Linked DNA regions of Cricetulus griseus. The protein of the gene in region 4 purifies or fractionates together with the protein of the main gene of each other region. This does not show direct contact. Links are inferred from orthologs where the notes say so. Each region holds a gene or a part of one and is shown on either strand. Other genes may lie near its edges.

The links.
Region 1: the proteins of Pten (region 4) and Usp10 purify together in Homo sapiens (affinity purification with western blotting; 4 studies listed by BioGRID, with this or other methods). This does not show direct contact. The link is inferred for Cricetulus griseus from reciprocal best matches to the Homo sapiens genes PTEN and USP10.
Region 2: the proteins of Pten (region 4) and heat shock protein HSP 90-beta purify together in Homo sapiens (affinity purification with mass spectrometry; 3 studies listed by BioGRID and IntAct, with this or other methods). This does not show direct contact. The link is inferred for Cricetulus griseus from reciprocal best matches to the Homo sapiens genes PTEN and HSP90AB1.
Region 3: the proteins of Pten (region 4) and Otud3 purify together in Homo sapiens (affinity purification with western blotting; 3 studies listed by BioGRID and IntAct, with this or other methods). This does not show direct contact. The link is inferred for Cricetulus griseus from reciprocal best matches to the Homo sapiens genes PTEN and OTUD3.
Region 5: the proteins of Pten (region 4) and Park7 purify together in Homo sapiens (affinity purification with western blotting; 4 studies listed by BioGRID, with this or other methods). This does not show direct contact. The link is inferred for Cricetulus griseus from reciprocal best matches to the Homo sapiens genes PTEN and PARK7.
Region 6: the proteins of Pten (region 4) and Cenpc purify together in Homo sapiens (affinity purification with western blotting; 3 studies listed by BioGRID, with this or other methods). This does not show direct contact. The link is inferred for Cricetulus griseus from reciprocal best matches to the Homo sapiens genes PTEN and CENPC.

What each region holds. Positions count from the first base shown.
Region 1 is NC_048596.1:196,581,975-196,586,610, forward strand, and holds part of Usp10 (ubiquitin carboxyl-terminal hydrolase 10), read left to right. Parts: intron 1-1,456; coding exon 1,457-2,488; intron 2,489-4,636. UniProt on the Homo sapiens protein: Hydrolase that can remove conjugated ubiquitin from target proteins such as p53/TP53, RPS2/us5, RPS3/us3, RPS10/eS10, BECN1, SNX3 and CFTR.
Region 2 is NW_023276807.1:31,888,331-31,893,582, forward strand, and holds the start of heat shock protein HSP 90-beta, read right to left. Parts: upstream 3,161-5,252; 5' UTR 3,022-3,160; intron 1,787-3,021; coding exon 1,640-1,786; intron 1,524-1,639; coding exon 1,317-1,523; intron 1,092-1,316; coding exon 932-1,091; intron 527-931; coding exon 393-526; intron 311-392; coding exon 2-310; intron 1-1. UniProt on the Homo sapiens protein: Molecular chaperone that promotes the maturation, structural maintenance and proper regulation of specific target proteins involved for instance in cell cycle control and signal transduction. Undergoes a functional cycle linked to its ATPase activity.
Region 3 is NC_048595.1:14,397,147-14,401,782, forward strand, and holds part of Otud3 (OTU domain-containing protein 3), read left to right. Parts: intron 1-2,944; coding exon 2,945-3,057; intron 3,058-4,636.
Region 4 is NC_048596.1:28,806,830-28,811,996, forward strand, and holds the start of Pten (phosphatidylinositol 3,4,5-trisphosphate 3-phosphatase and dual-specificity protein phosphatase PTEN), read right to left. Parts: upstream 3,366-5,167; 5' UTR 3,248-3,365; coding exon 2,425-3,247; intron 2,325-2,424; exon of another isoform or gene 1,409-2,324; coding exon of another isoform or gene 1,362-1,408; intron 1-1,361. UniProt on the Homo sapiens protein: Dual-specificity protein phosphatase, dephosphorylating tyrosine-, serine- and threonine-phosphorylated proteins.
Region 5 is NC_048595.1:5,483,249-5,488,358, reverse strand, and holds the start of Park7 (Parkinson disease protein 7), read right to left. Parts: upstream 3,370-5,110; 5' UTR 3,216-3,369; intron 3,101-3,215; exon of another isoform or gene 2,860-3,100; intron 2,157-2,859; 5' UTR 2,140-2,156; coding exon 2,050-2,139; intron 130-2,049; coding exon 28-129; intron 1-27. UniProt on the Homo sapiens protein: Multifunctional protein with controversial molecular function which plays an important role in cell protection against oxidative stress and cell death acting as oxidative stress sensor and redox-sensitive chaperone and protease.
Region 6 is NW_023276807.1:151,258,674-151,263,184, forward strand, and holds part of Cenpc (centromere protein C), read right to left. Parts: intron 945-4,511; coding exon 790-944; intron 1-789. UniProt on the Homo sapiens protein: Component of the CENPA-NAC (nucleosome-associated) complex, a complex that plays a central role in assembly of kinetochore proteins, mitotic progression and chromosome segregation.

The DNA.
Region 1 (4,636 bases), about 170 Mb from region 4:
TCCAGCTCCGGTTGTCTGGGTCCTTTAGGGCTTTTTTGTTTCTGCTTTGCATGTAGTGCGTACATGTTTGCACCTGCTATGGTCTGTTCTTTGCCATGTGTTACTTCTTGCTTGTCAGTAGCCTTGTTTCTTGCTCACATCTGCCTTGGTGTTGGGTTGTATTCGATCTCAGCCCACTTATTGTTACTTGGATCCTTTTCTCCATTCTCTGCTCTCTTCCTAAGTCCGGCTTTAATTTTGCTGAAAATGCTTCCAGAGTCTTATTGCCTGCTCTCACAGTTAGTTGTCAGGACCACTTAAAGGCTCTTTTCTCTAAAGCCTGTTAAGTTCTTTTTCCATAGAGCAGTGGTTCTCCACTTGTGGATTATGACCCTTAGGGGTCACATCAGATAAACTGCTTAATAGATATTTATGTTTCAATTCCTAACAGTAGCAAAATTAGTTATGAAGTATCAGTGAAATAATTTTGAGGATGGGGTCACCACAACATGAGGAACTGTATGAAAGGGTCACAACGTTAGCAGGTTGAGAACCACTGCCACAGAGCAGTGATAATGAATCTGCCTCCCTTTAAGACTGCTCAGGAGTAGGTGGCAGGGACCACATTAATTTCTGAATGTCTATCATTGCCTAGTATCCATTTAAAATGCTGTGACCCTTTAGTGAATGCTTGACACAGATGCTTCCTTCTCCTCTGCCTCCCAGCAGGTGACCTCATGTCCCCTATCATGCTTTGCACTTTATCTACTGCCCTTTCTAGGAAGTTGCTGAACTTTGAATCAATGTGTCCTTGCTGTCCATCAAGTTAAATCTTGAAATTCTACTGCTCTCTGCATAGTTTCCATGGAAAGAGAGCACAGTGTTGGGATTAAAGGTGTCACCACACCCTACTGGAACAGTATGTTCATAAACTTTGCACATTCTTGTGCTGACCAGTCAGCTTCCCACCAAGCCACATCTGAATTCCTTTTGCCCTTCTTTTGCATTGTTAATCTTTGGTAACTCACATTGGTCTTGTCAGTAAATGTAATTGTAAACTCATGAGCAGGAACCTTGTCTTCCCTGCTTGGGAAATCTCTAACACCCAATGGAAGGCTATGTACTTGATGGAACTTAAAGGCTTGTGCCACCAATGCCCCGGCGACCTTGGATTCTTAATCCCACTTCTACCACCACGGTACTACAATCACATGCCCCACTAATTTTTTAATTAATTTCTACCCTCTGAAAGTCTTTCTTAGTTACCCAGATAACCACAGGTACAGGGCTTCTATTTTTCATACCCCCAATTTACTTTTTTTTAATGTCATTTTCAGCAGATTTGATAGACATAAAGCCTGTCATACCTGTTTCAGAAAAGGTGTTGCCTCTCAAAAGAGTCTGAATGGCTTTGATACTACATAGCTTGTACCCTGTGTTCAGAATGGATGGACATTGACTGACTGTTTCTTCTCAGCAGGACAAGAACATCAGAAGATTGAATTTGGTGTTGAAGAAGTCATCAAACCAAGTGATAGTTTGCCGAGAACCACTACCTACAGTATTTCAAGCACCTTGAATCCTCAGGCACCTGAGTTTATTCTTGGTTGCACAACTTCCAAAAAGACCTCTGATGGTGTAGAAAAAGATGAGAACTACAGCTCCGTTGACCAGTACCCAGGCTCAGCCCTGGCCCTGGAAAACAGCTCTAACATAGAGGCAGAAGCCTTGGAGAATGATGGTGGTACTGGTGGTCTTGGTCAAAGGGAGCGTAAAAAGAAGAAGAAGCGCCCCCCTGGGTACTACAGTTACCTGAAAGATGGTAGTGATGAGGGGGTTTCCCCAGCTGCCATGGTCAACGGCCATGCCAGTTCAGCAGTCACGAACAGCGTGGGTGTGGAGGATGCTGAGTTCATGGTTGATATGCTTCCTTCAGTTACGCCCAGGACTTGTGACAGCCCTCAGAATCCCATGGATTTCATCAGTGACCCTGTGCCTGACAGTTCTTTCCCTAGAACACTAGGTGGTGATGGCAGGACTGCAGGGCTGCTTGAGGGCTGTCGTGGAACTGACTTTGAGCAACCCTGCCTCCCTGCAGATAGCCTTCTAAGGACAGCTGTGACGCAACCCTACGTTGGCACCAATACTACTGAGAATCTTGCAGTTGCTAATGGAAAAATACTTGAATCCTTGGGCGAGGACACTGCTGCTAATGGGGTAGCGTTGCACACTGAGGAAAACACAGACTTGGACCCTGCAAAGCCTGAGAGCCAGTCACCTCCTGCCGACAATGTGCTCTCTGTGTCTGGGGCCATTCCCATTAGCCAGCCTGCAAAGTCTTGGGCTAGTCTATTTCATGATTCTAAGCCCTCTTCCTCCTCGCCTATGGCATATGTGGAAACTAAGTGTTCCCCCCCTGTCCCATCTCCCCTAGCCTCTGAAAAGCAGGTGGAAGTCAAAGAAGGGCTTGTTCCAGTTTCAGAGGATCCTGTAGCCATAAAGATTGCAGGTACAGTTAAACAGACAGGCCGACTGTAGATGGGATTAGGTTTTAGGGACACATTGTGTAGTGTATTGGTAACCACAGTGGTGATAGCTGACCTGTGTAGTAACAGGAAGTAAAGGACATGTATGCATTAGTATTATCCAGTTGTAAAACAGTATTACATATAAGAAAGATTGAAGGAAAGGGTGTGCCATTCCAAGTGGAAAACCTTTTTTTCTTCTTTTTTCTTTTCTTCTTTCTTTATTTTTTTTTTTAAACAAATTCTTATTAACAAACTCCATTTCCATTTCTTAGTGCTGTAGTGTTGGAATGTGTGACAAATGTGTCGTGGGTTGCAACTAGGGAATACTTAGGTGTGATGGTTCTCAGTTTGTACTCTTTCTATAACAGTATAGAAAAAGGCATTTAAGAAAATAATGCAGCCCTCCTCCCTACCCTTAGTGACTTTCTTTCTGTTGAGGGATAGATTTTATTCAACACTGTAGCACTAAGCTCAAGGTAGGAAGACACAGGAGCTGGATGCTGAGGTGCAGGTCTTGCGGTCCCCAGCACTGGAGACTGCTGCAGTGTGCTGTGCCCTTGGAGTGCTCAGAGTCCCAGTAGACAGTAAGGCGTATCCTTGATGGTCTGGCTTTGAAATACCACAATTGTGGCTGTTGGTGGAAACACACCTGTAATTCCAGCACTCAGGAGGCTGAGGCAGGGGGAGTGGCAGTTTAAAGCCAGCCTGTCTTCAGTAGCAAGATCCTATCTCAAGAGAAGCCAAAACAAAGATGAGAACATTTATTCCCTATGTGAGAATGTTATTCTGAGTCTTATCTTATCTCTTCAAATGAGAAAATTGATAGAATTTTTAATTTATTGTTTTGGGCTTCAAATTATAGCCCAGGCTGGTTTGAACTTGCTTTTTAGGCTAGGCTGTCTTCAAAGTGCCTCTTCTTCCACTTCTGAGTGCTGGGATCACAAGTTGTACTCCTGAACTCCACTGGGATAATTTATCTTTTTTTTTTTAATTTTAAGTTTTATGTATATGGTATGGGTGTTTTGCCTTCGTGTATGTCTAGGCACCACTTGTGTATTTGTGCCAGTGGATGCCAGAAATGTGAATGCTGGGAATCAAATCCAGGTCCTTTGGACTAGTAGCCAGTGCTAATAACTGCTGAGCGATCTCTCCAACCCTTTTTGATGATAGTTTAAAGTCATTTTCTTCTTTCCTTTTTATTTTAATACAAAAAATTGATAAAAGATTTACTCATTTTATGCGTGGGTGCTGGGAATTGAACCCATTCTACTAGACCAGCAAGTACACTTAGCCCCTGAGCCATCTCTCCAGCTCATTTTTCTTTTTCTTTGTAGCACAAAGCTTTTCACAGATTCTAAGGTCATCTTGTTAGTCTCCCAAGTGCAGGGATTCTATCTGCATATCTGTGTGCCCTGCCTGTTTTTCCCTGAATGTATTTGTTTGCAGGACTGGGGAGATGCCTCAGTAGATAAGAACACTTGTTATGCGACCATGAAGATCTGAATTTGAGTCTCCGGCATCCCTGTAAAAAAAAGCCAGATATGGCCCTTGTACTTCTAACTCTCCACCATTCTGGGACTTGTTGGCTAGCAATCTAGTGTATCTAGCAGGTGGATCTCTTTGAATTCTAGGCCAGCCAGGGAAAAAAATCTTTATAAAAGTTCTAATCAGAGGTCTGACAGGTAGAGAGACAGTCATGCTTCCATTTATGCCATTCTAAATGCATATTGCCTTGGATGGGTTTTTTGTTGTTGTTGTTGTTGTTTTGTTTTTTTGAGACGGGGTTTCTATGTATAGCCCTGGTGTCCTGGAACATTTTCTGTAGACTAGGTTGGCCTGAGATCCTCCTGCCTCTGCCTCCCAAGTGGTAGGATTTAAAGGCGTGCATCACCACCACTCTCCAGCCATATGAACTATTTTTAGTTTAAGTAACTAAATCAAAAAAACAAAGGTGTTTGCTGGCTGGAGAGCAATGTTTGCATAGGACTATCAGAAGTGGGAAAAGAAGGTGATGGGGGCTGACTGCTGTGACTCCCTTGTGCATAAAGCCTCAGGAGACTCACAGCACCCTTATAATGCACCTGGTCTTTCTGGGGTTTCAGAGGAGCATATTTTAGATCCCAGCTATG
Region 2 (5,252 bases), on a different chromosome or scaffold from region 4:
CCTTGACTGCCAAGTGGTCCTCCCAATCATTGGTGAGGCTCTTATAGAATTCACCATATTCTTCTTGAGTGATGTCATCAGGGTTTCTGGTCCAAATGGGCTTAGTCTTATTCAACTCTTCCTGATCAATGTATTTTTCCTTAATCTTCTTTGTTTTCTTTTTCTTATCTTTGCCACTGTCATCTTCCTCATCTGATCCCACATCTTCAATCTTTGGCTTTTCCTCATCATCCTTATCTTCTTCCTCTTTCTCACCCTTCTCTTCTTCTGCCTCATCATCACTGATCTCCTTCTCTCGTTCCTTCTCCAACTAAATTACCAAATTGGATAATGAGTTGTGGAGAACTTATCACCAGCAAAGACTGCTCAAATACTGCCAAGTCCATACTCACATAGAGGGTGATGGGATAGCCTATGAACTGCGAGTGTTTCTTCACCACTTCCTTGACCCTCCTCTCCTCTAAGTACTCTGTCTGGTCTTCTTTGAGATGAAGGATGACTTTGGTACCCCGGCCAATGGGCTCACCTATAAAAAAGTGAATGATAGAATCAAGACATAGAAAACTACAACTAAGCTGGGCGGTGGGGTGGTGCACGCCTTTAATCCTGGCAGGAGGATCTCTGAGTTCAAGACCAGCCTGGTCTACAAGAGCTAGTTCCAGGACAGCCTCCAAAGCCACAGGAAAAACCCTGTCTCAAAAAACCACAATGAAGAAAAAAAAAACAAACAAAAAAACTACAACCAAAATACTCAACCCCCTGCTCCCCATTTTGACACAGGGCTTCTATGTAGCCCAGGCTGTCCTAAAACAAGAGATCCATCTGCCTCTGCCTCCAAAGTGCTGAGATTAAACAGTGCATGATCAAGACTTTGGACTTTCTATCCTCCAGAGAATTCTACCAAGCATCCAAACGAGGACAGGCAGCTTACCATGGTCTGCACGCACTGTGAAGGATCCACCAGCAGAGGACTCCCAAGCATACTGCTCGTCATCATTGTGCTTTGTGATCACAACCACTTTCTCTGCCACGAGATAGGCAGAGTAGAATCCAACACCAAACTGCCCAATCATGGATATGTCTGCACCAGCCTGCCAAAGGATTTTAAAAGTTAAGAGGTAAGTAAAATGGTTCTGCACAAGTGCTTGCTGAACTCAAGTGTAACTATCAAGTAGTTCAATCCCTGGGACCTACTGGCCAGTAATCCTCTGATCTCCATAGGTTAAAAGCCTACCATATCACTAGTGAAAACAAGTACTGAAAAATTAACAAGTCAAAAGCAGTATTGAGAATGTTGTGGATATAGGGCCACACACCTGGAGAGCCTCCATGAAAGCCTTTGTGCCAGACTTAGCAATGGTTCCCAAGTTATTTATGAGATCAGCTTTGGTCATGCCAATGCCCGTGTCCACCAAAGTCAGCGTGCGCTCCTGAGGGTTGGGGATGATGTCAATCTTCAGCTCTTTGCCGCTGTCCAATTTGGAAGGGTCTGTCAGGCTCTCATAGCGAATCTTGTCCAAGGCCTGTAAATAAACACACAGCCACATTATTCCATTTCTGCAAACATTGTCTTGGCTCTCAACCCACGGCAGACTCCTCTCAATCCCTCACTGGGCTTCTATGAAGCTGTGATACTCACATCAGAAGCATTGGAGATCAATTCTCGAAGGAAAATCTCCTTGTTTGAGTAGAAAGTATTTATGATCAAGGACATGAGCTGGGCGATTTCTGCCTGGAAGGCAAAGGTCTCCACCTCTTCCTCGCCATGGTGCACCTCCTCAGGCATCTAAGAAAGCATTACACATTAATTACTAAAACGATGGATGCACTTTAAACTCCAATTCAAAATGCTTTAAGCTGAGTAGTATCCATTCCCAAGGGATGAGAACCGCCATTTTTAAAAAGACCTTGAAAAGCTACAGTAAGCTGGTAAACCGAAAACGGAAAAAACTCAAAGGATGGATGGTTCTTCAAACAAACGCAGCCAAAACGGTATACTACAGCTCAAACAGGCTCAACCCGACAACATACCTTGTTAAAATTCAAGAAATGATAATTCGTTAGCTACCCGGTGAACATATACAGGAAACCCTTTACAACTTTATTTGGGCAAAAAAGAAACTAACAGAAACAGCAGCCATTTCTATGTGCCGCTCCATCCTAGCAGGAGCAGGGAACCCGAGGCTGCAGTCATGGAGGCACTCAAGGAGCAATTAAACCAGGACAAAGAGGTAAAAGCTCCACCATGACCTCTCTCACTGCGCAGACTTGCATAGCCCTGAACACAAGTAAAATGGTGGCCCGAGCCTTCCAGCGACCCTCGTCACTGCCGGACACGCGTCGGCGGCAGCCATCGGGGAGGGGGCGCCACCGCAACCCTCCCACTGCCCCAGCATCCGGGCACTGGGGCGGGGCACCAGGAGCTTCCAGAACAATCTGAGCTCCAGGGCGGGGAGGAGTAGGGGAGGGGTAGGGGAGGGACCAATGGATCTTCCCGTGCCAGCCCCCTCCGGGTTCCTCCTCCTCCTTCCCCGGAGCGCAGGAAAGATCTGGAAAGGCAAATGGCAGTGCGCTCAAGCGTCCCTGCCACCCCGTGGACGACCCCCACGCCCAAGAACCCCAACCACGTTGGGAAAGGCGTCCAAAGGAGGCGGCCAGGCCAGCCTCACAGGGCCGTGCTGAGTCACGCCGCGGAGCCCGCCACCGCGCGGCCCCTTCGGACCCTGCAGCTGCGCCCGGAAGTGGAGGGCAAACATGGCAGCGTCCCAGGTCGGCGCCTACCACGTGCGGCTGCCTTGCACACAGCTGGGCCGCGCCCCCACCTCACGCGCCGGGGCCCCAACCCGGGGCCCCAAGGAGCCTCGCCGAGCCACCCCGCGGGGCCAGACGCAAGCAGCTCGGGGTACACCAGCCCACAGGCCGCCCGGCTGGGCGGGGACCTTCTAGGACGGATGCGAATGGGGGGGGAGAGCCCGGGGAACGAGCCCCGGGAAGCCGCAGGGCCGGAGGCCGCGGCCTTACCTTGACAGGAAAGCCGAGTAGTAGTACAGGGCCGGGTGGGCTCGGAGCGCGACCGACTCGCACGCGGAGGTTAGTGTGCGCGGGGGTGACTCAAGAGAGCTCCCAGACGCCCCCGACCGCCCTATATAAGGCGAAGCACAGCTCGGCCCCGCCCTTGGATCCCTCCGCCTCAGGGGGCGGGGCCGCCGCCCGCACCTGCCGCCGCCCGCCCACCTTGACGTCATGGTAGCAACTGGGGGCGGGAGGGGGGGCGACCCGGGGCCTGTGCGGCGAGCCGAGGCCTCTCCTGCACGACCAGGACAAGGCCATGGCAAGATGAGGGCCACGGGGTGCGCTTATGCTGCTAGGGATGTGTCCACGCGCGGATATCCCGCCGACTCCCCCAGAAACCTCGAGGCAGGCGCCTCCACCCCCGACTCGCAAGAGCACCGAGATGGCTAACTCGGCTGCCGTTCTCTGAGCCCACCTCCCAGAGTGTTCCCTACATGGAGAGAGCAGGACAGTGGGACATTCGCTGTCCAGCTGGAGGGGGTCCCGATGCCCACCCTCCGGAACGGGGCCGCAGCTGCAGGCGGCGAGCAGCTGCTCGGGCGGGAGGGGCGCGGGCCTGGGCTGCCAGGGACTCTTTGGCGGCGCGCGGCGGAAGGAGCAACGCCGGCGGTACTGCGATTTCTTCCAGCAGTTTCTAGGGCTGTCTCGGCGGTCTCAACCCCTCCCCCCGAGGCTCCACCTCCCCCCGCTGCGGCGGGGGCAGCCGCTCGGCTAGGCGCTACCTACTGCCCGGCTCTTAATGCCGAACTGTGTCCCCCCCCCCAATGCTCCTACTGTGCGCTATGGTTAGACGACCCCGGCCCTGGGAGCCCCACATTGCTGCGGGGGGGGGCGGGGGTGGAACGCGGGATGGCGCCCAGAGAGAGGGATGGCTGACCTGGATCGGTCGCAGGGCACGTGATCTGCGGGGGTGAGTGACTGCGGACACCTTTCTGTGAACAGACCGGGGACCCCACACTGATGGGTGGGACACTCCCCACCCCCCAGCCTCCGAGGTGGCCCACGGACAAGGCGCACGGGGCCGTGCGCCCTCCCTTTGCGAGCACTGCAAGCTGCTTCTCAAGCTGGTTTCCCTTTTTCTAGCACTCTTGCCTCCTGCAGCTCTTTGGACCTAGGGAGAGGGAGATCTCCATCTTATCAGATTAGCGGGAGCTCTAGGCAGCTGCGTGAAGATGCTAGTCACGGGTTGGCCCAGTTCCAGGTGCCAGAACCAAATTGCGCTAGTACCTCCGCCCTGCCTTCCCACTGGGCTGTCTGTCCAGGCCTCGCCTGTCCGTCTAGCCTTGCCATTTTCCAAGGCCGCCTCTGGAAGCGAGTTGGGCTGATGAGCCCACCAGGAGAGAATGGCCACTCCGTGCTCTGTAAATGTTCCTCTCCTTTCTTTGCCGGCTCTGGCCAAGGTCTCCGACGCCACCGCCCACACCTTCCTTCCTAGTGCGTGCATGCAGCCCATCTTCCCCAATGTGCTTTCATTGTTTAGCAGTGGTTGCCTTCCCATTTTCCTTTGCCTCTGTCCGCTTCAGTTCACCTGACCCTGCTGTCTTTATCCTCTCAATTGTATCGGGAGAGAAGCCTGTAGAAAAATCAGTGAATATAGAGATTGCTAAAAAGACCCCAGTGTGCTGCATTGAATCAAAATCTAAAACTATGAACTTAAGACTCACCATACCCTCTCTCAATAAAAGGGGCCTAGGTGTTCTCGAAGCTGGACATGCAGCTCCAGAGTAAACACATACCAGGCCCTGCGTTCCCTAGCTCTTAAGCGACAGCTTTCCTGACCTCTAAACGGGCAAAATCTAGTCTACACATTTCATGAACAGGAAAACGAAGGGTTCCATGAATAGCAGGGTCCCTAAACCCAGGCTCCTTTCAGGTTGGAAGAGGAATGGGGACAGAGGCATGGCCTCTGAAGCAGACCAAGTCTGAAGCAGACCAAGAGTCACTCCTATGCATGAGCTTTCCTTTGGCTGGTCCCCAGCAATGTCAGCTCCTGAGCAGCTTCCTGGGACTTTCTTAGTCGGGAAAAGTATACTGGGCATGTTGATACACACCTGTAATTCCAGCACAGAGGCAGCCGAGGCAAGAGGATTTCAAGTTATAGGCCAAGAGTGAGACCTGGTGCATTAATAGTTAAATAAAAAAAAAAAGAGGGGGGGAGTCATTTTGCACCAACTTAAAGA
Region 3 (4,636 bases), on a different chromosome or scaffold from region 4:
CAGTTCCAGAGCAGTTGGTGGAGTAGTTTACTCAGGCGAGGAGACCAGGGTGGTTCTGAAGGTCCTGCTTTAGAATAGCTCCAAGCATGGAGGACAGAGGGAGGGACATGCCTGAGGACACTGTCAGTGTCCTCACTGGGAATGGGCACATGTAGCCCTGGGGGATAGTCTGTACCTGTTACTGAGCTCTGGTGGCCCTCTTCTTAGGGTCATTTTTCAAGCAGACAGTTTCAGCGTTAGCATTTTACAGGTGTGTGTGTGTGTGGGCAGATTTTGGAGCTTTGTGCTGTTTAAAATGAGTCATGTTGCTGAGTGTGCTAGTGCACACTTGCCCTAGCACTCAGGAGGCCGAGGAAGGAGGATCAGAAGTCCGAAGCCAGCCTGCGTAGAAGAAAATAAATAAAAGAATCTTGTCATTTTTCAGTGTTACTTTGGATGAAATTTACGGTCTGAATTCCACTTGAACACCTTTAGGAAGGTCATGTAGTGAGCTTGGGCTGCATCCATGTATCAGGACAGGAGCTCAGAGCTTCGGTTCCAGTGTGATGTCACTTTAGTTGTGCAGTGGAAAGGTGTTTTCTTGAAATCTCACTGCATGGCCGAGTGTTGCTGTATAAAAGTGTGAGCATCAAAGAGACGAGGTGTGGCTGTGACTGCCAGAGCAGAAATGAACAACAGCAGGGAGCCTGCGAGTCCTTGGACCCATTGTCTTGATCTCTTAACCAGTTACCAGTTTTGAATGTCTGTCTGCCCTAGTACTCTGTAAGTTTCTCAGGGACAAGGTATTGGGCCTTTGTTCCGGATTCAGTCACACCTGACATTTGGGGGTATTCATATAGGATTTGCTGGTTTAATAAGCGGATGTCTCATGTAACTGGTGAGGGCCTAGTGACCTTTGCCCTTGGCTCTGCCTTCAGGATTATTTTCGTCTTCTAGCCTGTGGTTCTGTAGAATCCACGCCACCTCTCCACATCTGTACCAAACCTGGATCAGAACTTGAGCTGTTGGTAATGCCTCATCTCCCTGTCCTCGCTTACTGGTCCATTGTCTCTTGGCCCTTTTCCTCAGCAGTTTCCTCTTCCTCTTACCACTTGTGTGGTCAGTTTTTACTGTGCCTTGACACAACCTAGAGTCACCTTGAACAGAGGCTTCTTCTAACCTCAATTGAGGGATTGCCTAGATCACATTGGCCTGTGGACATGTCTGTTGGGAATTGTCTTGATTGCTAATTGATGTAGGAGGGCTCAGCCCACTGTGGGCGGCACCATGCCTACGCTGGTGGTCCTGAACTGCGTGAGAGAGCTAGCTAAGCATAGGCTTATGAACCAGAGACAAGCCAGCAAGCAACTTTTTTTGCTGAGCCTGCCTCTAGGTTTCTTCCGTTACTGACTGACCTGGAAATGTAAGATGAAATAAGTACTCTCCTCCACGTTGCTTTTGGCCATGGTGTTTGTTGAAACAATAGAGTGAAACTAGAACATCACTTCTGAACTCGGGTGTGGCAGCCATTTCACCAGGAGCCCTCAGTGCAGTGTGGCCCCTTGATCTCTTCAGTCTGTTCTAAGTCATAGTTAGAGTGTGACCCAAGTTTTTTTGTTTTTGTTTTTTTTTCCTCCAAAATCTGTTGTTGACCTGAGGGCTCAGCCTGCTATTTTATCCTTTCATGATCTCTGGTTTTTAATTTCTCTCCTCTGTTTTTCACTATATTTTCTCCCTCTGTCTCTGCAGTCCAGGTTCCTGTGGTACACTATAGTCCATAGTCTGTCTTGTTGTTTGGAATATAATTCATTGCTCTTTTCAATTCCTCCTTGGCCATGGAGCATCAGTTGAGTAGTATCAGCCTGACAGCTTATCTGACACACCTCATCCCTCCCCTTCCCTGTGGGTGTACACACTCACACCTTTATGTTTCTGACATGAAGTTAGGATATGAGCACTGCTGTGCAGGATTTCCCTCGTCTCTGACACTACCCCACATTCACAGGAGCGATTGTGACAGCGGTGGTTAAGGGAACGACCAAAGTTAGCTAGAGGGGAAGACTCGGTCCAGCACAGTCCAGTCTCAGAAGGTTCCAAGCACAGTGCTTCTTTGTCTTCGGGAAGTTTTATGTGCTTGGCATTTCTATGACAGTACACATAGTGCTGTCAGCAGGGGACCTCACTGCAGCTTCAGAGTCCAGAGTTTGTCTTTGGGTTTGTTGTTGTTTTTGGCTATTTCTCTATTTCTTTTTGTGGTAGCATGTAGCTGCTGTATAGTTTGTTGGCAGCTGTAGTCTAGGGCCCATCATTAAAGAGAGAGACTTGCCCTTCTGCTTTGTCAGTTACTTTCCGGGAGCCTGGAGTAAAGGCCCGATCAGCCCTTTCCTGAAGCACTGGTTGTCTACATTGTCCATATTATTCTGATTGTAGTCTTCTCCAGGGCAGAGTGACAGAGTGGCCACAAGCCAGGGCTGTGTAGTCAGCTGCTGGGGTGAAAGCTCAGCTCACCGAGTTCAGACTCTGTGGCCTCAGGCCACTGTTAGCTGTCCTCACCTCCATTTGTTCCTCTGTCTGGTGGCGAGTGTGAGAGTTTTCCGAGCACTGCTCTGATGATCAGAAGTGATGATTTCTGAGAAATTATCAGCGCCACTTGACGCATGCATGCATCCGTTAGTGTGAGTTGTTGCCGTTTCTCTGTCTGTTGTTGTGCACGCCATGTGTGTCATGCAGCTGGGCAGACACGCGGCATTTACTGAAGGAGTTAATCAGCCCCCCTCCCCCCCCATGATGGGAACCCAGTGCAGTCTGCGTGTTGTTCACTTGTAGCTCTCTAGACTGACAGCTGGAGGCCTTTGCAGATGCGTGGCCGTGCTTCTCACAGCTTCCAGCTACATGAAATACCAACCATGTTTCATTTGCACTTTTCATCATAAAGACTTCATTTTTCTTTCCTGTTTCCATGCAGTGGCCAGTTTGTCAAAGCCTGGTACTTTTGCTGGCAATGATGCAATTGTAGCCTTTGCAAGAAACCATCAGTTGAATGTGGTGATCCATCAGCTTAATGCCCCTTTGTGGCAGGTAGGTCACCTGTTTAGGAATGTCCTTAAGATGATGGGGCTTGACCTGTGATGCTGAATTCCTAAGAATAGTTTGGATCATGAGCTAACCAAAGACAGGAATCTTGTGATTTGGAACTAACCCCTGTGCTGGGTGTAAATGGAGTCTGGAGTGTGAGTGAGAAATATTTTATGATCCTGGGGTATTATTCAACAGTCAGCTAAGTGGGTGATTTGGGGACAGAAACTAATGTGGAACTGCTTCAGATAGTCTTATTAAACTATCTTAGTATATCGATGTTTAGTACACACAATTTGTAGTTTTGAAGTATGCCCGTTCTCCAGCAGTTCCTATGTGTGTGTTTTTAATTAGGAGTAGAGAAGTGTCATAAAATCCTTGATAGTGACTATGTTCACCATAATGACTAAAAAGGGTTTTTCCAACAGTAGAGTGCTTTATTTTTTAGTTTTTATTCAGCTTTATTTCTGCATTTTGCTTTTTTCTACAATATTTTTTGTTTGCTTGTTTGTTTTTGGTGGGGGAGGTTCAAGACAGGGTTTCTTTGTGGCTTTGGAGGCTGTCCTGGAACTAGCTCTTGTAAACCAGGCTGGTCTCGAACTCACAGAGATCCACCTGCCCCTGCCTCCTGAGTGCTGGAATTACAGGCGTGCGCCACTAATGCCCAGCTACAATAAAAATTTTATAGCAAATGTTTGCTCCAGACTGAGACAGTTGTGAAGCCAGACAGTCCTCCCTGAAGTATCTGCCCATTCAACTCCTTCTCTCTGTCTCCTACATTAACCTCATCTGTTGGTCCATCAAACCAAATGTCCTAGAGCACAGGTGATCAGAGGCCGCTGACTGAGTGCACACCCTGCTCCCTTGTTCGTTCTCTCAGAATTCAGAGGGCTTTGTGTGACTCTGGCTCAGCTCCACACACTGGACATTTGCTTTCACTGACCCTTTGCTCTGTGTCACCATCTTGAACTTTTTTTGTTTAGAAAGTTAAAACCTTTTAATTGAAGAACATCTGGGAAATTGAGAAAAGCCCCCAGAGGCGGGTGAGGGCCACCAGAGTCACACTGACTGGAATTAGGACTGTTAATTTTTTTTTTTCCCAAGAAATTTTTTTTTTTATTAGTTTAAATTAGAAACAAGCCTGCTTCACATGTCAATCCCTTCTCCCTCCCCTCCTCTCCCACCTCCCATGACTGTTAACATTTTTAGTGTGTGTCCTTCCATTCACCCACACTTGGGCATATGATTGGGGGTACATATCACATGTTTTTACAATACATTTTAAACACATGTATGCGAATTCACACACACACACACACACACACACACACACACAAACACCTACCTTCGTATGCATGCATTACTTAAAGGTAATGACATCTTTTCTTCGAGTGCTGCCTGCACGCACCCCTTTGTAATTCCCTAAGTTGTGGCCTGCCCACTTTTTAGAAATATAAATTATACATGCCAGAAATTCACCCTTTTCTGGCTTACATCTATGTTTTGATGTACGTATAACACCACCACCAACATATGGAATAGCTCCACTTTACCAAGAAGTTAGTGCCTGCCCTGGGCCACA
Region 4 (5,167 bases):
ATTTTAACTCCTGCCCCCAAACACAGAACACACTGATGAGGAATCAAGCAAGCCCCTCTGGCTTATCAAAATCATTGGGAGGACAACTCTCAGAAGAGCAACGGCTTCACCGACTTTCTCCCTATAGACTCAACATTTGGCTCAATAAAACCACAGCTCTAGAAATTAAGTGTTATTAGTCATTTGATGCAATATTTGATACTGCTTTCTATGCACATTATACTAAAAGTACAGTTTCAGAGCTCTAACTCACAGAAATGGCACGTGCAGAAGCCCATGTACTATGCAATCAAATAAGGAACTGCAATCATGTCACTGCTCACACATAAAAATTTGGCAAAACAATCTTGAAGTCCGACACACCTGATAATTTTAAATCAAGTGGGAACAGCAAAACATAAGGGTACTGTGGAAGGTAAGAGAAGCCTGACTACCAGGCATTCAGATTTTTCTTTGAATGAGGGCCTATTTTTTTTAATTAAACAGATACCGGACTAATTCCTTCTATATCTAGATTACTATCACTAATTTATACCAACTGCCTTGAAGCAAGTGATAACCCAGAATTTTCTACAATTACATTTCAGAAAAGGTCAAGTTCATCCAGAGTAAAGTTTTGAAATATAAACTGAAAATTAATGCAAACTTCAAAATTAAAGATACCTTAACAGATTAAAGATTTTCTTAACAGAAAATTAGCCTACTTCTAAAGCCAGTTCTTCAGTGAGTTTCATCTTCATTTCAGAACAAAAACTCGGTCAAAATTAGCTATGCATGTTTATATGCTGCTAATGCAATCAAAAAAAAAAAAAAAAAACCAAACCTCTTCCAAATGAAAACATTTTCTTACAAAAAAAAAAAAAGCCTCTCCATAATGCTCTTATTATTATCAGGACATGTATAGACAAGTCTCTGACCTTCTACCTTAAGAAATGTCTGCTGGTATTTACTAATAATTAACTTTTACTAAGACTATCTTATTAACAATTATGCAATTACATAATTTTAACTAAATTCTGCTCATTGCTACAAGTCACATGAAAAAATAATTTGGGGTCGTAACAAAAGCCCTGTCACTTCAGAGCAGCAACTTGTGTTTTCTTCACACACCGGCCTCCCAAAAGCTCTCAATATCTGTCAATACTTCCTCCAAAAAAGGAGGGCTCTCTTCCTATCCCTGATCAAAACCAATACCATACCTGAAACTGCAAAGATAAATGCTTTAAGATAACCACGAACTTTTGAAGTACAAAGACCTAACTTTTAGACAATCAGAACTATACACCGTTAAAAATTCTTGGGTTTCTGTCTTATTCAACAAGCTGACTCAGGAAATTACTGCATTTAAAAAGCTACCATACCTACAATCTGAAGTCAGTGATCCACTCTTGCTAGTATTTCTGGGCATTAGCTGGTTAAATTATACTTGACATTCTATACAAATCAGGGTAAAACCCATGGGCAGTCAACGGGTCAGAGCACCTGAAACACAAAAATTTTGAGCAGCAAATTCCTGTTCACGATAATAGTTAAATTTCATGTGAGAGCTGAGGTTTAACCTCTGCAACCATTCGCCACACACAATATCCTTGAACTCACACGGACATCACCTGGGACCAAAAACTATTCAATTTCTATCCCATCATGTATGGCAAAGCCAAATGAATGTAAAATACCGCTGAAATGCAAAGCTCATGCCTCATCCCACGTACAAAGTCTAATTTAACAAAGTTCTATTAAAAGCTCCAATAACGCAAATTCTGGCACTGTTGATCTCAAACTACAGAACTTCTACATGTAGTTCCAAAGTGGTAAGTAATTACCCCAGTTTAAACACACAAAACCTACTTTTACCCTCAAAAGTGCACCATCTACTCTGAGGATGACTATGCTTATAAAGTTATGCAAATCAGTCCACAAGTTACATTTTAGAAAAATCTATCAACGCAACCCAGGAAACTAACAATCACTGCAAGATTCTGAGGTAATATGCCTTCGTGCAGCACGGACTTTCATTTTAATCTGATCTACACCCTAGATCTAGGGCCTAAGTCACGATCTAATAGAAATAAGCACAACCTCACCAGCGTCTAATTTGGTTCATTTAGAAGGCTTGGATTAACGAGCTCGTTAATCCAATGTACAAAACTCTGCATTCACGGACAATAGATTTTAGGAAGAGACCACAGAGCTAGACAAGAAACCAATCCGTGCCTTGACACTTGCAAGCAGGCATGAGTTCCGTCTAGCTGAACACTCCCTAGGTTGAATACACCGGGAGAGACACACAAAATTGACGATCTAGAAATGTGACCAGTATTAAACGTTATAGTCACCCCAACTACAGAAATTTTTCGCATCCGTCTACTCCCACGTTATCAGAGTGACAGAAAAGCAAAGAGGAACAGCCGCAGAAATGGATACAGGTCAAGTCTAAGTCGAATCCATCCTCTTGATATCTCCTTTTGTTTCTGCTAACGATCTCTTTGATGATGGCTGTCATGTCTGGGAGCCTGTGGCTGAAGAAAAAGGAGGAGAGAGATGGCAGAAGCTGCTGGTGGCGAGGCTTCTTCTGCAGGATGGAAATGGCTCTGGACTTGGCGGTCGCTGATGCCCCTCGCTCTGCTACCGCTTGGCCCTGGACCGCAGCCGGGTAATGGCTGCTGCGGCGGCTGCTGGATGGTTGCAGCGACTGGGCCTGCTTCTCCTCAGCAGCCAGAGGCCTGGCAGCCGAGGCAGCGGAATGGGGAGAAGACGGATAATCCTCGCAGCAGCGGCTGCCTCCTCCGGCGGCCTCCGGAGCCCGGGCCAGGGGGGGTGCGGCGGCGGCGGACGGGAGGCTCAACACCGGCCCGGGTCCCTGGACGTGCCGCCGCCGCCGCCGCCGTGTTGGAGGCAGGAGAAGGGGAGAGAGCAACTCTCCGGCGTTCCCAGCCCTGGCAATGGTGACAGGCGACTCCGACCCCCTCCCCGGAGCCGCGGCCGCCGCCGCCGCTTCTCCCCCCCGCTCCAGGAGCGGGAGGTGCAGCCGCCGAGCCTGCGCCGGCTCCCGCCCGAGCCCGCGGCTTCCACCGTCTGTCTCTCTCCGAAGCCGCTCAGAGGCTGCCCGGTTAGAATAGACGACGAGGAGGCGAGGCCCGCCGCCGCTGCCGCCGCCGCCGCCCGGCCGGCTCCCGAGGGCGCTGCCCCCGCGGCTGCTCACAGGCGCTGAGAGGGGCTCTGGGCCGCGGCCGCCGCCGTCTCTCATCTCCCTCGCCTGCGCCGGGCCTGGCCTCACAGCGGCTCAACTCTCAAACTTCCATCATGGCTGCAGCTTCCGAGAGGAGAGAGCCGAGCGCAGCCGCGTCCCGACGCCCAAGCGCGTATCCTGCCGCAGTGCACAAAGAGTCCCGCCACATCACCGTGCGCCGGCCGGCCGGCCCGCCCCCTCCGCCGCCCCGCCAGGAGAGCCGGGCGCCTCCGAAGCCGGAGGGGAGGAGAGAAGGGATGGGGGGGGGGGCGGGCGGGGCGGAGCCGGGGGCGGGGCGCGGGCGGGCGGGGGCGGGGCGGCGCGCGGCGCGGAGCATGCGCAGTGTGACCGCGGTTGTCTCCCGGAGCTGCGCCGGCTTCGGCCGCGGCTCGCAGACACCCGGCCAAGGTAGGGCGGGCTGTGGCCGCGGAGAGCTGCGCCGAGCGGGATCGCTGGCTGCTCTCCGGTGGATCGGACCAGCTTGGTCGTGCTGGTCCGTGTCTCAGGAGCCTCAGGGGCACGGCCCTGCGGCAGGGACACCCATCCCGCCTCCTTCCGCCCGCCCCTGGGTTCCTTTGGAGCGGCTTGCGTCCCCTGCCCCGCGCCGTGGTCAGATTGCAGTGCTTCGCTAGGATTTGTCAGCGACAGCCTTTACCTAGATGGTGCACCTCTCCCGCCACGGTGTCCTCAAGGTGTCAGGCTTTGCACAAAGAACAACCCCCTATTGTGTCTCCCGCGTGGGTCACCTCATCGGGCTCGGGTTCCCTGCCCCACCTCTCGCTTCCCAGGCGGCTGGGATCTTTTGCTCGAAAGGTGAACGCTCCCAGCCAAGCGTGATGATTGTGCATACGGGGCGTGTACCTACACGTCTCCCCTGAGTATCCGGGGCCCAGAGGACACCCCTGGGTGGACACGAAGTGCATCTCCGTGAAGAGGGTGCACCCCACACGCACCCTTCTGCGGCTGGGTGGCGAGTCCCGCAGCTCCCCGCAGCCGTGGGTCCACCGGATCAGCCAGCCTCCGTCTTGAAGTGGCTAAGCATCCCCTCCCGTTTGTGGCCGCTTTGAAAACCCAGCAGAACTGGATCGCTGTGGCCAGGTTCTGCTCCACTCGGACCGTGCACGGCCCGGGAGCCGGTTACTGGGCCGGGGTGGGGAGTATGGTAGGGTCGGAAGCTGCAGCCTGCGAGTGGGCGGGGCGAGCAGGCCTGGGAGGGCTCAAAGGCGAGGTGGAAGGATACACGAGCCACGGTCGGAACTACTTTCAGGAGGAGGTCACGTGTGGTCCTAGTTGGGGAACTTTCCAAATTCCCATTCCCCTATCTGTGTGCTCCTGAGGCAAGAGCTTGGACCCTTCTGCTCTGCTAGGTGGTCACCCCAGGTGGGGGCAGCCGGACCCCTGCTCATCCCGGTCGGAGCGGAGAGCGGCACCCACGAGCGGTCCGCAGGAGCGCTGTCGGGGCCAAGCGCCTGGGGAGCTGGTTACACAAGCACCCACATTCAAGCACGTGCCCCGGCCACCCCTCTCTGCTGGCCGCCGCCGGTTTGTGCACGGTGACGCGGAGAGTCCCCAGCCTGCGCTTCCCTTTCGCTTGCAACCCATGGAGCGAGCCAGAAGGCCGAGAGTCCTGCTCTGGGTCTGCCCACACCGCGCGTTCTCAACCGTGGGAGAAGAGGCTGGGCCTGAGGGCATCTGACGCATCTCGTTTGCTAATGAGATGGACCCTCTGTAGATCTGTACTCGCGGGGCAAAAGGGTATCTCCTGTTGCTGCTGGCTGCCCGGGCTTACCGATGTTGCAACAAACTTCCAGTCACTGCCCCTGAACTGGTGAACGCGCCCCACCTACTGTAGACTCAGCCAAGTGACTTATCTGAGCACCTAGTCAATGGCTGTCCGCCCAGAACAAACCTGTCAAGTAAAAAAGCTTACTGCCGGGA
Region 5 (5,110 bases), on a different chromosome or scaffold from region 4:
GGAAAAGTTCAGATATACAAAACAAACCTGCTTTTTTGCATCTTCAAGACTGGTGTCAGGACAAATCATTACATCACGGCTACACTGCACGGGGTCTTTCCCAGCCAGGCCTGCAATAGTGACTTTAATCTGGAGAAAGAGCAGATGTTCAAGAACATGGAAATATACAGACACAGGGCGACACTTAATACCCATTCGGTGGTTTTAAGTAACTTGTCAGAGATTACCACAAAACCAAGCAGAGGCAATGGCCAGATATATTAAATAGCAGGAATCTTATGGTTTGTCCAAGGACAGTACTAATTTGTAGCTGAGCTGCTACCGCAGTTCTGACTGGCTAGAACACCCTCTACGCTACAAATGTTGAGTTCGGAGATGAATTACAGAGTCACCCTTTTAATAGCCCATCTTGCAAGGTTACCGTTGTCATTTAAACCTCATAGTTTTTTCCAAAGTAGACATGAAAGTCAAACAATTAAAGAATACTTTATTGGGAGGCAGAGGCAGGTGGATCTCTGTAGGCCAGCTTGGTCTCCAGAGCAAGTGCCAGGACAGGCTCCAAAGCTACACAGAGAAACCCTGTCACGAAAAAACAAAACAACCCCCCCCCCAAAAAAAAAAAACCAAAAAAATACTTTATCCTGCAAAACATTTAGTAGCAAGACATTACCATTAGCTAGTACCCAAAACACAGGCGTTTCCTACAGTGCTGAGGCCAGCAGGTTAGCTCACTGAAGACAAGCTATCAAAATCCAGAGATGTTGATCCTAACAGTGCTTGCCCAGTAATCACAGTTTTAGGTGCAGAGTCTGAAACTGTCCTCACATTTGCACAAATAAAACCCACAAGAGTATTTATTACAGAGGCTGGAGAGGTGCCTCAGTGGTTAAGTGCACCTGGATTTGGTTCCCAGCACACACATGGCAGCTCACAGCCACTTAACTCTAGTTCCAGGGGATCAGGCACGCTCTTCTGGTCTCTTCCCGTACCAGACACAGTAGTGCACAGATACACATGCAGAAAGACATTCATCCACAGAAAAGGTTAAAATCTTAACTATTTACTCCAGTGTCACAGGGCTGTGACGGGAGGGGGGGAGGCAGTGGCATCTGTACTGTGTAGAGTGCTGTACAGCAACATGAAATGCGGGAACTGGAGTTTCATCTTGAGAGCCGAGTGTAAACTGCCCGGGCCTGCATTCTGCTCAAACAGTAAATCAGCACAGCTGAGTCAGCATTGCTGTCAGGTTTGTGTAAATGCTCAGAGTGAACCTGGCAGACACAAGCGCGTTCCCTGTTCACAGTGTTATAGAAGAGACACGCTCCATGTAAGCACAGGATGTGAAGCACAGGCTAATGCATGGGACATTCTGGGGAAGGAGGAATGGACACATGCCTGAGGAGACTCCACAAAGGGGAAGCAGGAAAAGCCCCTACTTCACAGCATTTACTTTAAAAACCAAGAACAAACCAACAAAAGGTGTCCAGGCCAGAAGTGTTGGCCCATGCCTGTTATCCCAACTACTTGGGAGCTGAGGCAGAACAGCTTGAGCCCAGGGGTATAGGGCTAGCTGGGAAACCCACACACCCATCCCTTGAATAAATTAATTAATCAATTAATTAATTAGAAAAGGGTCTGAAAGAAATAAGGCAAAGTGTCACAAGTCAGCAGTGATCCAGACATTTGGGAAGCTGAGGCAAGAGAACTGCCAAGAATTCAAAGCCACCTTGAGCTACACAGTAAGTTCCAGGTCAGCTTGGTCTAGAGGGTGGAACCCTATCTCAAAAGCCAAAAAAAGGTGAGCAGTGAACAACACCAGTGTTTTATTATGTAATCTCTGGAGTTTTGTACTTGAAATATCTCATGAAGTACGACAGGCAAGATGGCTCAGCAGCGAAAGGCTGAGGAGACTTTAGCTTAATCCCAGGGTGGAGGAGAGAACCAACTCATACAATTTCCCCTCTGACTTGCACACCTGAACCACAGGATGCAGGCTTACACACAACCAACAAGTAAAACAGGGAGGGCCAGCCCACGAGGGGAACTCACCCCAGCTCGTCGCATGACATCCACGGGAATCACCGTCTCCATCTCCTCTGCACCTTTGGCCAGGATAACCAGAGCTCTTTTGGAAGCCATTTCTAATTCTTAAAGATCTAAAAAAGGAAAAAAAAATTCTTTAAAAAGTTGCCAGTGTAGCCAGGCAGTGGTGGTGCACACCATTAATCCCAACACTTGGGAGGCAGAGGCAGGTGGAGCTCTGTGAGTTCGAGACCAGCTTGGTCTCCAGAGCGAGTTCCAGGACAGCCTCCAAAGAGACACAGAGAAACCCTGTCTCGAGAAAAAAAAAAAAAAAAGTTGCCAATGAATAACCACCCGAACCGTGTAAATATCTTCCAGGGAACAGGTTGGGATAAATTAAAGCAAGCCGTTTAGGTTAATACTGGTTTACATAGTGGCGTTCTGGTCGTTAATTCTGAGACGGAAACAGGGTAGCTGGCCTGGCGGGATGGACTACGGTAAGGAGCAGAGGACCCAGGTTTTGTTCCCAGCACCCACATGGCAGCTCACAGCTGTCTGCAACTCCAGTTCCAGGGGGTCTGGGCCCCTCTTCTGGCCTCCGCGGGCACTGCGCATATACAGATGCAGGCTAAACCTCATACAGCAAACACGCTCCTAAAAACATACCGCAGGGATTGCTAGCGTGTTAGCAGCGTTTGGAGCTTCCCTCACCCTGCCTTTTCTAAGCCCAGTTTCTTACAGAGGCATGCCACATAAGGGAGGGCCCTGCATGCCTGTCACACTGATTTAGGAGAGGCGGACTTTCTTAAACTACCGTGATTAAACACCACAACTGACTTTCACGGGCCACAGAGGAAATGCACAGTCTGCAAACTTGTAAATTCTGGAGGGTTTTTCGTGTGTGGTTCCCAGAAACCGTGCTGAAACCTGTGGGGCCAGGCCAGCCTCCGGCCACACCGCTCTCGCTGAGGGGGAAGGGGATTCCTTTCTCGAAGCCCAGGCCGCTCGCGCGTGCTTTCCCTGCCCCACGACTCCAGCCGAGGCCTTCCAGTAAATGCTCGCCGGCCACAGCCCGAGCGTGCCGAGCGGAGCTTGGCCCGGCATGCACCGCGGCCGCCCCGGCCCGCCCGCCAGGGCCCCTCCCGGGGCAGCGGGTGACAGCCGCGCCGCGCCGCGCCGCTCCGGGCGCTGACCTGCAGCCGCGCCTCCTCCACCCACGCGAAGCTTCGGCCTCTCAGCTCCGCCGCAACCCGCGCCCGGCCCTTCACACTCGCAGAGCGGCCCGCCAGCACGCATGCGCGCCGCACGCCCCCCCCGCTTCCGCCTCGGGCTGCGTCACATCCGGCCGGGCGCATCCGGGGAAGATGGGCACGCGGAGGTTACCAGGGCGACGCTGGCCGAGCGTCTCCCCTCAGCCAATGGTACGATCCCCTGCGGGCGCCGGACGCATTGGGCGCTCTCTGAGACCCGCGCACGAGAAGGGGCGCGAGTTCGAGGCCAGGCTAGGACAAGCGCGCGCACGCGCACACAGCGGCTAGGCTGGAACGTGTCTCCTCTGTCTCTCTCTCTCTCTCTCTCTCTCTCTCTCTCTCTCTCTCTCTGTCTCTCTGTCGTCTGTCTGTCCGTCCGTCCGTCTCTCTCTCTCCTCTCTCTCTCTCTCTCTCTCTCTCACACACACACACACACACACAGAGAGGCTAGGCTAGAACATCTTCTCCCCCCATCCCCCTTCTCCCTCTCTCTCTCTAAAATAAATAAAAGCCTGGCAAGGTTGCCCACACGTGTTTGTAATCTTACTACTTGCCATCTTTGGAGGATGTTTTACATCACTTTTCTTGTGCGCCGTTCCCCTTTCTTGCCCCTTACTGTGACACCCCCCTCTTTTCACCCCTGGCCTGCTAGTACTCCATTCCAGGTCATCCCAGGCCTGCCCCTCTCCCCAAGGCCTGGTCACCCTGTGTGGGGTCACAAGAGTTTTGTTTTTTTCACGACACTATTTTTAAAGGCCCAGCTGGGAGCTGCAGAGGCAGCTCAAGGGTCAAGAGATGTTGCTGCTTTTGCAGAAGACCCAGGTTTGGTTCCCAGCTCCCATAAGGGGAGACTCACAACTGCCTGAAACTCCAGTTCCAGGGGAATCCGATGGCCTCTTTTGGCCTGCACAGGCCCTGCACTCACACACACAAACTCACAAATAATAAAAGGCCCGCTGCACTCTTGGTAGAACAAGGCTGACATCTCCAATACGTTTTTAATGGGTTATTTAGATTGTATAATTTCATTTTGGTTTTTTACATTTGTTTGGTTTACATTTATGTCTTGTGTGTGCATCTAACCTGTGCTAAGAGCATGTGGAAGGGCAGAGAAGACTGCTTGCTGGAGTCTGTTCTTTCCTCACCACAGAGCGGCCGGAGATGGAACTCAGATCGTCGGGGGTGCAGCAAGCACCTTTACCTGCTGAGCCCTCTCACTGGCCCCTCCTAAGTTTTTAATGAAGGAGAGAGGCTCATCCTCACCTGGTCCCATCCCGCCCCTACCAGGAAGTGCAGTTCATTTGGCACCTCTTAGTGCTTTGTGCAAGCCCCATGCAGGATGTACACTTGCTTCCCTTTCTCTACGATGAGACTGAATGCCCCGCATACATTGGCTGACCTCCATTACAGGTTCATTTTGGAAACCTGACTTACTGGAGATTCTTGCAACAGGGGGAGTGTTTTGTTTTTCAAGTTGTACAATTGTTAAGTCGTGTAGACCACACCGTACTTGAGCAAATGTAGGATGTTGTTTAAGGATTTAAAAAGAAACTATTTTAGGAGTTCTAGAATGACTTGGCTTTTGAGCTAGCCCTTCAGCTTTGAAAGTGTAGAAACCAAGGGTGACAGACAGAAATACACAGGGGCAACTTAAGGGTACTGGGCAAGGTGGTTCATGCCTGTAGTATCAGAATGAAATCCATCTCTAGGTGGACACATACCCTTGTCTCTTCACTTAAGGATTAATCCAGTGTGTCAGTTCAGGGACCTGGCTGGGGACACCCCAGGAAGGCGACTTCACCTTGAGAAGGTGACCTCTGCGGCCAGATGGTGGTGGG
Region 6 (4,511 bases), on a different chromosome or scaffold from region 4:
GTATGTGGTACTTTGTTAGGTCAATAATAGAAAACTAATATGAATTCAATTTTGTTCATTCAATGTCATGAAAATTCAGTACTGCATTACCAGTAAACTTTACTAAAAAAAGAGAAATGTTATACAAGCTTCTTCAAAGGCTACATGTTTTCTGGATAACACACTTGTCAACAGGAATGATGAACCAGAGATAAGGAAAGTTATTACCACTCAAGAACATGCACAGCAGACATGTGTATACAGCAGATACTGAGACAAAGGGCTAGGAAGAAAGGAGGAAGGGAAGAAAGGAAGAAGGGAGAGAGGAAGGAAAAGAGTGAGACATACCAACTCATCATAAATCTCATTGTAACTTCAGACCCTGTCAAGTACAATAGCCTATTGGTACTGAATGGAGCAGCTAGCCCTTTGTCTGAAGGGCACTCTTAACTAGTTAAGTCATTTTTTAACTATTCTGATCCTCAACCATATGATTACAGAAGTTCACAAGACATAACCTCCATAATCTTCAGCTCTAAAATTCAATTTTATTAGCAAATCTATATTCTAAGATTCTCTTAAGAAACAATGACACCATAAACCACTGAACCTAAGGTTGTGCTATGCCCAGTACAGGTATTTTTAAATAATTACTGACTGGTTAACTGAAACACATTTAATAAAGGAAAAGATTTCTTTATGTAATAAACAATAAGATGTCACTACCAAGTAAATAGAATTTTAATGCATCATCTGAGAAAAAGAATCAGTTGTACTTCTAGAAAAGCAGAAATGGAGAAATATACTCACCAATATATCTTGGCCAACATGCTGCTTTCCTTTTTCTTCATAGGGTCCTAAAACCAATTTTCCAGTAGAAAAAAATGCTGTATCCAATGTTTTAAAAACTTTCAAACCATGTTGCTCCACGAAAAACTGGTATGTATCTCGTGGTCTTATAAGATCTAGGGGGAAAACAATAATACAAATATAAAGCAATCACAAGCTAAACATGTATACCAGCCTGTGACAGTCATCTCAGCACGTAGGGAACTAAGGAGGGTCACAAACTGGAAGTCCAGCTGGGTTACACATGGGAAACCCTACTGCAATAGTAGTGTTTAGTGAATAAGCATTTTTCTAAGAGCCATTTAGACCATACGTACATATAGGAAGTTCTATTACACAGGGTGAAGATGACTGACTCTGGAGCTGGGATGGTAAAGGTCCTATTCTGCCTGGCTCATAAATTACATGACTTTGGACTACTTAAGCTCTCTAAGCCTCCATTTCCTTTCTGTAAAAATGAGCCAACACCTATGTTCAAACAGCTTCTGTGAACATCAAAGGGTTAACATAAATCTATAGAGACAGCTGAACAAAGCTCTTGGAAACTCATGAACTCTAGACCTACAACTGTGGAGACTCCAGGGAACCGAACTAGGCCTTCCATATGTGGGAGACGGTTGTTAGCTTGGACTTTCTGAGGGGCCCCTGGCAGGAGGACCATGATACAAACCTGGTACATGAGCTAGCTTATTGGAGCCTATTCCTTAGGGTGAAATGTCATGCTCAGTGGCAGTAGGAGCATGATATAATCCCAATACATGAGCTAGCTTGTTGAAGCCCACTCCCTATGGTGGGATGCCATGCCTAGTCTTAATGCATGGGAGAGGGGGCCTGCCCCTAACCTTATTGTGCCAGACTATATTGACTCCTCATAGGAGCCTTTACCCATGAGGAAGAATGGACTGGGGGGGGGGGGTGGGAGAGTTGAGGGGAGATGGGAAAAAGTGAGGGGGTTGGAGGAGGGGTGGGAGGGAGAACTGTGGTAGAAATGTAAAAGGAAATCAAAAAGTAAAAAACATGTCACTGCTCAGCGTGCACCGGATCCAAATTTGGTGGTGGGATCCCATACAGCTAAGCCCCCGTGGCAATTCTGCCTCCATCCACTGGCCCAGATCAGAACTCGGTGGCGGAATCCGACACACCAGACCCTCCAGAGGCCCCAGTGGCAGTTCCAACTCCATCCACGAGAAAAGGACAGTCATAAGAGTATTGGATATCCCATCTACCAGAAGGGAACCTTAGCCCCATAACCACCAGGAGAGCAAGAGACTCCTGCTACACCCACGAGAAGAAAGGATGAGAAGAGGACAAGGTAAAAGCACATCCAACAACAGAAAACCCAATATGACACCACCGGAGACTAGGAATCATACACCAGCAAGACCTGAACATCACAATGCAGATGAAGCAAAAGAGAATGACCTTAAAAACATCTTCAGGAAAATGATAGAGAACCTCAAAGAGGACATGAGAAAAATCCCTTAAAGAAATGGAAGAAAAAACAAACCAAAAAATACAAGATATCAACAAATCTCTCAGACGACCAGAATCTAGGGACTCCACTCCAGCAAGATCTGAAAAGCCCAACACAGAGCATGAAGAAGAGATGGACCTCAAAAATTATCTCGGCAAGATGATAGAGACCTTTAAAGAGGAAACAAGAAAATCCCTTAAAGAAATAGAAGAAAAAGCAAACAAAAAATTATGCGAAATGGAGGAAAAGACAAACCAAAAAATTCAAGAAATAAACAAATCTCTTAAAGAATCTAAAGAAACCCAAGAAAAGACATCCAAACAAGTGAAGGAAGCTCTTGAAACAGTTCAAAGCATGAAAGCTAGATGCTGAAAAAGCCTTTGACAAAACCCAACATCCCTTCATGATAAAGATCTTGGAGAGAACAGGAATAACAGGAACATATCTAAACATGATAAACGCAATATACACCAAACCAATAGCCAACATCAAACTAAGTGGAGAGAAATTCAAAGCGTTTCCTCTAAAATCAGGAACAAGACAAGGCTGTCCACTCTCTCCATATCTCTTCAATATTGTACTTGAAGTTCTGGCTAGAGCAATAAGACAAGAAAAGAAGATCAAAGGAATACAAATTGGAAAGGATGAAGTCAAACTTTCACTATTTGCAGACATGATAGTCTACATTAGTGACCCGAAAAACTCTACCAGGGAACTCCTACGGCTGAAAAACACCTTCAGCAAGTTAGCAGGATACAAAATTAACTCAAAAAAATCAGTAGCCTTATTATATACAGATGATAAATCCAATGAGAAAGAAATCAGGGAAACATCACCTTTCACAATATCCAAAAGCCACATAAAATATCTTGGGGTAACACTAACCAAAAAAGTGAAAGACCTGTACAATAAGAACTTTGAGAATTTAAAGAAAGAAATTAAAGAAGATACCAGAAAATGGAAAGATCTCCCATGCTCTTGGATAGGTAGAATTAACATAGTAAAAATGGCAATCCTGCCAAAAGCAATCTACAGATTCAACACAATCCCCATCAAAATTCCAACAAAGTTTTTCACAGACATTGAAAGAACAATACTCAACTTTATATGGAAAAATAAAAAACCCAGGATAGCCAAAACAACTCTTTACAATAAAGGATCTTCTGGAGGTATCACCATCCCCGACTTCAAGCTCTACTATAGAGCCATAGTTCTGAAAACGGCTTGGTATTGGCACAAAAATAGACAGATAGACCAATGGAATCGAATTGAAAACCCTGATATTGACCCACGCACATACGAATGCCTTATTTTGACAAAGGTGCTAAATCTATACAATGGAAAAAAGATAGCATCTTCAACAAATGGTGCTGGTACAATTGGATTCGGACATGCAGAAAATTGCAGATAGATCCATACCTGTCACCATGCACAAAACTTAAGTGCAAATGGATCAAAGATCTCACCATAAATCCAGCCACTCTGAATCTTCTAGAAGAGAAATTAGGAATTACCCTTGAACAAATTGGCACAGGAGACCGCTTCCTGAACTTTACGCCAGTAGCACAGACATTGAGGTCTGCAATTAATAAATGGGACCTCCTGAAACTGAGAAGCTTCTGTAAGGCAAAGAAAACAGTCAGTAGGACAAAACAACCACCCACAAAATGGGAAAAGATCTTCACCGATCCCACATCTGACAGAGGACTGATTTCCAAAATATATAAGGAGCTCAAGAAGCTAGCCACCAAAACACCAAACAATGAAATTAAAAAGTGGGGTGCAGAACTAAATAGGGAATTCTCAACAGAGGAATCTGAAATGGCTGAAAGACACTTAAGAAAGTGCTCAAAATCATTGGCCATCAGAGAAATGCAACTCAGAACAACTCTGAGATACCACCTCACACCTGTCAGAATGGCTAAAATCAAAAACACCAATGACAATCTATGCAAGAGAGGATGTGGCGAAAAAGGAACACTCCTCCATTGCTGGCGGGAGTGCGAACTTGTAAGACCACTTTGGAAATCAGTATGGCAGTTGCTCAGAAAAATGGGAATCAGTCTACCTCAAGATCCAGCCATTCCTCTCTTGGGTATATACCCAAATAGTGCAGGTTCATACAACAAGGACATATATATGTTCACCCATGTTCATAGTAGCATTGTTTGTAATAGCCAGAACCTGGAAGCAACCTAGATGCCCCTAA